2 linked regions of the Arabidopsis thaliana genome follow. The protein of the gene in region 1 interacts with the protein of each later gene in a pairwise test. Each region holds a gene or a part of one and is shown in the gene's direction. Other genes may lie near its edges.

Evidence for each region. Proteins that work in one complex are often made in the same cells at the same time.
Region 2: the proteins of AT5G27810 (region 1) and AT1G76590 interact in a two-hybrid assay, tested with the Arabidopsis thaliana proteins (one large-scale study listed by BioGRID).

The regions. Positions count from the first base shown.
Region 1 is NC_003076.8:9,853,360-9,857,353, forward strand, and holds AT5G27810 (MADS-box transcription factor family protein), read left to right. Parts: upstream 1-2,311; 5' UTR 2,312-2,467; coding exon 2,468-2,827; 3' UTR 2,828-3,099; downstream 3,100-3,994.
Region 2 is NC_003070.9:28,738,785-28,743,200, forward strand, and holds AT1G76590 (PLATZ transcription factor family protein), read left to right. Parts: upstream 1-1,755; 5' UTR 1,756-2,090; coding exon 2,091-2,093; intron 2,094-2,187; coding exon 2,188-2,397; intron 2,398-2,483; coding exon 2,484-2,699; intron 2,700-2,801; coding exon 2,802-3,110; 3' UTR 3,111-3,447; downstream 3,448-4,416.

The DNA.
Region 1 (3,994 bases):
ATTTACTTTTAAGTAATACATTCAAAATTTGAGATGTATAAATGGATAAGAAACCTTGATATATGTTTCAAAAAGCAAATTGAGGAGAGTGTAATAGTAATAATGTAAAACAAAAAGTTGAATAAACGATTTTGGCTCACGTCATTGTTATTAAAAATGTATGCATGCGTGAAAAATAAGTGTAGGGTAAAAAGAAGAAAGTTTGTTGAGGCAAAGTTGCCTTAGAAAGCGGGGGAATTTCTCTCTTTCACTCACTGACATTATGTCTTTGTGTACTCACTCTCAGTACCAGTTTATTAAAGTATAAATAAAATGATATTGATGAAGAGAAACAATATATATTACACGAAGATAAAAAGATAAATTACGTAAGTAATATACTAATATTGTCATATATTTATGGAGACATAAAAAACCAAAAAAAAAAGATCTTGAGGTGATGAAAACGAACTTTTTGCAAGCGTCGTTGTTGTAGGCATTGCGGATGACTTAAAAATAATCAAATAAACAAAGAGAATGATACGTTTTATTAAATCATACATATGTCTTAAGTTATATTTTAAAATTTTAAATCATAGCCTCAACGAAGTTTGAAAAGGGATTTCAATTAATTTTTGCAAAAAGTTAATAGCAAATAAGTTCAGAGAGATAGAAAATAAATGTATCATCCAAATAGAAGAAATATAAATAAAGAAGAAAAAATTGATGTTAAAAAAAAAAGTTAAGGAATAACCCGACCCGAACAACCCGGTTTAGCCAAAATCTCAGGACTAGAAAATAATCAAATATGCTGGCAAGGCCAATTCGGTCCCATTAATAACTTATACATTGAATATCATAACATTTTTTGTTTTTTTCTTTCACAAATTATAGGAAAAATGGGTAAAAAACCATCACCAAATATTGTGTAAATATTTTACTAAATTGCATAACAATTTATAAGTTCTTTATAATATACACCATTCACCACTTAGTTTATTCTAATTATCTACATATACATTTTTGCAGCCACTTTGTAAAATAAATCCTGGAGTTGGGATTTATTTACAGTGGCTGCCACTGACATTTAATAATTATTTTAGATAATTAGAAAGAAAATCTTCTAATTAAATATTTGACATTTAACAATCTTCTTAAAATCTTTCTACCTTAACTACACGATTAATTACTAAAATAAAACTTTCAAAATATTTAATATCATTTAATTACTACAAAATTATCATTTTTGATGTTGCTTTTCTGCATGATTATAATCATCAAATCGCAGAGATATTTGATAGCATGTAATTACTACAAAATTACAAAATATTTAGACAATAATTCATAAACATATCATAAATAAGGTCAACATTAATAAAATAAATGAGTTTTCTTTACAGGACAGGTTGGCGGGACGGGTTTGGCAGGACGTTACGTAATAATAATTATAAACTATAAAATAAAAATATTTTATAAATAGATACAATTTACAATATATATATTAATTTAAAAAATAAATTGTTCCCCCGATATACCGCGAGTTTAAATATAGTTTTATATACATTTTGCTAGACTGCGATCTTGTAATCTTCTGATAACATCACAAGTTGGATACAATTTTTTTTTTCTCATCATGTCTCTTCTAAATTTTATTCTTTTTTCGTTAACATTTTATCCTTCAACTTACCACCCTCGTTATACTTTTTTTTTTCATTTAAGAAATGTAGTTTAGTTTTACATGCCTTTACTTATGAAGTTTTTAAACTTTACGATGGGTATTGTAATTTTGCTAACCTATTTTTAATATATATATAAAATCAAGAGATTTAAAAACTGATTTCTTAAAGAATTATCTATATGGTAAATAGTTCATGATTAATTTACCAGTCAACAACCGAGATTCAATGTCTCCAGCAAGGGAAATAATCACAAAAATATTTTGAAACAAATCTTTGACTACCTTTTAATACCATATCTTATTAATCATCACAATATTTGAAAATTATATATATTATTAAATAATTATATTAGTTGCATCATGTTTAAATAACATTACCAGATTGATATTTATTGATGATTTTTGCTGTTAAAAACTAAATTTGCTAGCTAAACATTTTATCCTATTTTATTGTTTTGATGTTACCACTCTATAAATATTTGGACTATAGTTCTACATATGTCAATCAGTAGTGATAATACATGTAGTAAATAAGAAAAACGGTTATAATCTCTATCTTCAATCCATTCAGATTTTTTTTATAATGTTCATGCATTAAAGCTTGATTTGGAAGTTTATATTTTCTTGTATTAAAATAAAGATACCCTATATAACAAATATTTGTACCTTCTCAGTACTACATAATACTACACATTAACAATCTCAAAATATACAAAAAAACATTTTAATGACGAGAAATAAAATGAAACTTGCTTTCATTTCCAACGATTCTTCAAGAAAAGCAACTTTCAAAAAAGAAAGAAGGGGTTGATGAAGAAAGTACATGAACTCTCAACTCTATGTGGCATCACATCGTGTGCGATCATCTACAGTCCGTATGATACCAGTCATGAAGTGTGGCCATCAAATTCTGGTGTGCAAAGAGTGGTTTCCGAATTTAGGACACTCCCGGAAATGGATCAACACAAAAAGATGGTAGATCAAGAAGGTTTTCTCAAACAAAGGATCGCGAAACCGACAGAGAATTTGAGGAGACAAAGAAAGGACAATAAGGAGCTCGAGATGACTGAAGTCATGTTTCGATGCTTAATTGGAAACATGGAGATGCTTAAATCAGAATCACAATCAGAATCAACAACAATGGTTTATGAAAATGATGAACCATCTTGAGCAAATGAAGTATCCAGGAGAGCAAATGGCGTTTCAATTCATGGATGATAGCCAACACAACCACATCCACCGTCATCAACAAGAGCACCAACATCATATCCCTGGAGAATCTTCCATCGCTCTTGATGTCGGCAACTCAAGCGATATCGTACATAGTTCTTGTTCTAAGTATTTCCAATAATAAATGGTTTCGTTAGGATTTTATTTAATGTGGTATTACAATAATTTCGAGAATGGATTGATAAGTGAATTTATAATTAGCTTTCAGTTTTTTTGTCATGTAATAGATTGCATCACAATTTATGTTTTTATTGTTATCAGTTTGATGATGGTGATATTTTTCATTCTATTTTCACAATGATATGTTGTTTTTAAATTTAGAGATTTGTGATACTCTTATTTTTATTGTTTCATTTTTCCGTTTATGTGTTGTTTTTCAACATATGTCTTACCTTTATTAATTCTTTAATAACATTTTGAGCAGATTAGATTTAAGGTTTCTTTTCAATTTTAGAACTGTTGAGATTTTATATTTTTTCTTTCAAATATAAAATATGACAGCTCACATTTTAAAAAAGAAAATATTTTCGTTTAAAGTGTTAAGTACAAATATTATATAATATATAATCAATAATATACACTGAAATGTTAATGTACCTAACATATTGTAAACCATTTAAAATTCTTTTAAAAACTCTTGTAAACCCTTTAATATTATGTGAACCATTTTAAAAGTCTTGTGAACCTACAACTCAATTTACTGTTTTATTGTCTTTTAGGTTCATCTACTTTGTCTAGCTTAATATTAGTCATCATAAGTTTATTGTGTTAACAACGAGAGCTTAGTGGAATTTGACCCTTAAGTGCTAACAACGATCTCTTATTTGTGGGAGTAAGCATAAGGCAATTTGAGCTATATCAACTCCGAAGCAAAACAAACTACATTACAAAAACATTTTAATCATGACTATCAAAAAACAAAATCCTTTTAAGTATTTTATCAACACACACTTGAACTTTAAAATCATAATAAATTTATTTTTAACACCATCAATAATATTTTTTAACACCTTCTGACATATCAAATCAACTTGATCTAGTAGAGATTATATAAAACAAAAAATTATCATGCAGTATACTATTACTTAATGACAATCATGCATAAAT
Region 2 (4,416 bases), on another chromosome or scaffold:
CTGAAGCTGTTTTCTCCTGTGTGTTTATTGTATCTCTGTAGAGTTGTGAACGTAGTTGAACATTGTTGTAAAATTGTAATGTAATACCTTTTTGGTTAATCCTACGTAAAAGTAGTATTAGCCACTACTTGCTAAACATTTTAAAGGGACATCTTAAAAAGTGAAGATGATTCTTCACAAATAAACCACAACGGTCACGTGAGTCTCGTGCTATTGACTACTATTGTTGAGGTCGGTCAACAGTGCATTGCCCCATCTTTACCTTCTTCTTCCCACATTTGTTTGGGATATTTTTCAATTTACTCACTTTATGAATACAAACAAAACAATAAAACTAATCTCTTTTGTGTGTAGTTGAAAGAGATAAGATCGCAGAAAAGAAGACGATGATTCGTCGACTTTTCTCCCAACATTTTGAACAATTAGTTGTTATGTGTAATTTTCTATAGATAGCTACTATCTGATTACGTGGATCACACTTCTCTTTTTATTATTATCTCTTTAGGTTTCTTATCCCATATAATATGATATCAGGTCTCTTTCTCGAGTAATACATTATATATCTATGTTGATTATTTACTACTTGTCATTTAAGATAAGATACTTAAAAATACTTGTTATTGGATTTTGCCGGAAGACTTAACTTTCAAACTCTATTATATGTAGAAGATAGCGGACTGAAAAATACGTCGAAGACAGATACTTCTATTGCATAATTTTTGGGTAGGGACTAGAAAACTTACTCGTAGTTTCGACATATCATCCGCAATCTCAAATTAATTGCAAACTTTTTGATCATATCTATTGAAACTATCTTTCTAGCTTCATTAATTCGTTACCAGCCCCCAATATAAGCTATCAAGTATGAATATTAAGATGGATTTAACGGTGATAATAGTAGTATGTACAGTTTCTTTTGTCAACAGCTGATAAAAAAAATGAAAGCTTCTAACAGTTTGAGCCTAAAGAGATCATATATGTGAACAGTTTCACACACACATAAGCCGTACAACTAATATAGATATCACTTTGACCGTAAAAATCTAACAGTTTAGATCACACACACACAATCTTGAAACTAGTTTAAAGCACTTTCAGCGAAAAGTACTCACTAGATGATAAGAACTCTTTGGCACGTAACAGACGCTTTCGAACCCTACGATTTCAAGAGGTGGCTTATGTACGGTCCACTCAACTTCTTCATCCGACGGTCTAAGATTGGTCATGTGGGTTGAACTACCAAAAGGGCCAAAAGCGTGAGCCACGTTACATTATAAAAGATTTTGTCTTTTTAATCCAACGGTTCACACCAGAATCTCCAATTCGGTTCTGTCTCCTCTCGTGTCGGTCCATCTCTCTGGCTCTTCACCTCTAGCCACGTGTTTCTAATTTTGACCTTTTAAAATTTTAAGAAAAAAACAAATTATTTCTTGTAGCTAAAATTTAGCATCCAAATTCCAAACTCAGAGTTCTCTTCTATGGCCGTATGATACTTCCAATAATCCGTATGTATGTGAATATCATAATCTATCACAAACATAATGAATAGTAGTAGATATTAAGACAATCAAATTTGGTAGAAAAAATATCTTCCTACGTTGGGAATTATGTAGGACCGAATAATATAGTCGGCTAATTCGATATTTTGTCGCGAACCACGACATAAAATTATTTATCATCATTTGTGAACAATAATGATTCAAAATTATCAATAACACCACCTTTTTTTTTTAAGTTCCTTTACTTCTGGGGTCTCTAGAGACCCACACATGTGCACAAAATATACGTGTGTCTCTCATAGACTTTAAAGCAAAATTAGAGAACACTTATTTTTAGCCAAAAAAAGTAATTAAAGAAAAAACTATATAAAAACAGTTTAAAAAGGGGATGATATTAAATGATTTTCATGTGAATTATAAAACGTATTGAGTATTATCGTGACCGACTTCAAAAAACAAGAAAAACCTCAACTTCTCTTTTTCAGCTATAGCCGCCGCCTCCTCCCACTAAACTCAAATCCTCTCATAGTCTTTTCAATCAAATCTGCTCTTCTTCACTGTTGAAGCTGGCTATCAAAACTCACAATAACTATGGTGATTGATTGATTCTCTTTCTTACTTAACTCTGTTTTAGTTTCTTTGCAAATTCTTATATTAACCATTTGGAACTGGTCTAAACATTCTTCAGGGACCGATGATGATGAGAGCAGAAGAAGATAACTACAATCTAAATCCTCCACCATGGCTAATCCCAATGCTAAGAGCAAACTACTTCATCCCTTGTTCAATCCACGCCGCTTCCAACAAAAGCGAGTGCAACATGTTCTGTCTTGACTGTTCTTCTGAGGCCTTTTGCTCTTACTGTTTGCTCAATCACAGAAACCATCGTGTCCTCCAGGTTCTTTCATCAACTTCAAATCATTTTTTTCTCTCTTACCAATTCACCCAACAGAGTTAAGAAAATGGGATTTTCATTACTTGCAGATACGGAGATCATCGTACCACAACGTTGTGAGAGTAAACGAGATTCAGAAGTACATAGACATATCTTGTGTTCAGACATATATAATCAACAGCGCAAGGATCGTTTTCTTGAACGAACGTCCTCAGCCAAGAATCGGCAAAGGAGTCACCAATACTTGTGAAATCTGTTGCAGAAGCCTTCTCGATTCTTTCCGTTTCTGCTCTCTCGGTTGCAAAGTAACTCTTCTTTCCTCTGTTTTCCTCTGTTTTGAATGAATATCTGAATTTGCTCTGTATAGTTGAAATGACCATATTGCCCTTTTGTTTGGTTTATTTCAGCTTGGAGGAATGAAGCGTGATCCAAGTCTAACCTTCTCTTTGAGAGGGAAGCATGGAAGAGAGTACGAAGGTGAGTGGGAATCTGATGAAGCGACTACACCAACTAAGATACGCAAGACATGTGCTTTCAACCGTCTGATGAGTGGTCTTTCCATCTCCACCGTTAAATGTGATTACTTGTCAGGAGATCAACCGTCTTCGAGCTCCGGTGATGAGAGCGGTTTTAAACTTTCTCCGGGGACACCGCCGATATATAATCACCGGAATTCAAGTAGACGGAAGGGCGTCCCACACCGTGCTCCTTTCTAAAATTAATACTAACGGAAGCTAATTATATAGTGTAGATTATAGAAAATGTGGTTGTTATGTTGTAACTAAATGGTTAGTAGTTTTTAACCTTTTGAGCTAGGAATATACATATTGTAAGACATATTACTTACAGGTATTGTTTGGTTTTTCTTTTTATAGTACATATAGAAATTAGGTATATACTGTACTCAAAGGGATTGAAATATGTTTTCATATAGTTTTTTTGCTGTAAATATACGTTTGAAGGAGGTATGTTTCTTCAACTTGTTTGTATCGTATACTGTGTACTATCTTCACAATAAAATAGCAAATATGATAACTAGGATTTTTAACTGAAGCGCTAATATTCGAAGAACTAAATTGTCAATGAGAATGATACAGACGAATAACGAGATTTAAAATAAGAAACTGTCGATCAAGACATGTATTAGTATTGTCAGAACACAAAAACATTGGTGATAAGCTGGGGCAAAAAACATTCTGGGTCTATCTATTTCAAGGAAAGGAGCTTCGACTCAAAAGAAGCTTATGTCATTAGAACTTAGAAGTCGATTGTTAACAACAGTTCAAATACTTCGTTTCCCTAAATTGGTTATCAAGTAGTTTCAACTTTAAACTCGTGCTATTAGAATTTTTTTTTTATTTTCGAACGATATAACGTGGTTCTTCGAAACAATACTTCGCTAAATCCTAATAACTTTCGGCATTTGAAATGCTCATGATGTCATGCATCTACCTTTTTTCCGTGGTTGCCTCACCTTTTAATGGTGTTTTGATGTTAAATTTTTTTATGTATAAGTTGTATTTTAGTTTTTTTTTTTTTTTTTGACTGACTTTTGGATCTAACCTATGATTTAAAGATCGGAGAGACCATTCTGATCTTTGTATCTGGCGGGTCTTGGGAGATGGTGGAAAAGAAAAACCTATGATTCGTCAAAGATGGTTGAAAGATGAAGAACTTGAATATGAAGGTTTTTTCGATTGGGACAAATAGATGAAAAATAAAGAAAACATAAATTACTATATGACCTTATAATATATCGAATGAAAGCAATATCATTCGACTCAGGTTTGTAATTTAGTGGTTTATGTTATACTGTTTCCATGTAATAATCTGAATTTTAATACGATCTAAAATCAAATATGTGTAAGTTGTTGATGAAAAATAGAAAATTCTAGAGTTTTATAATCTTACATGGCAGTAAAGCAAAATTTAGCAATATTGAAATCGTTCAGATTCGGGTTTACATATAGATTCAACTTGATCTCAACAAGATAGATTATGACATACAGCGTGAGATTTTTG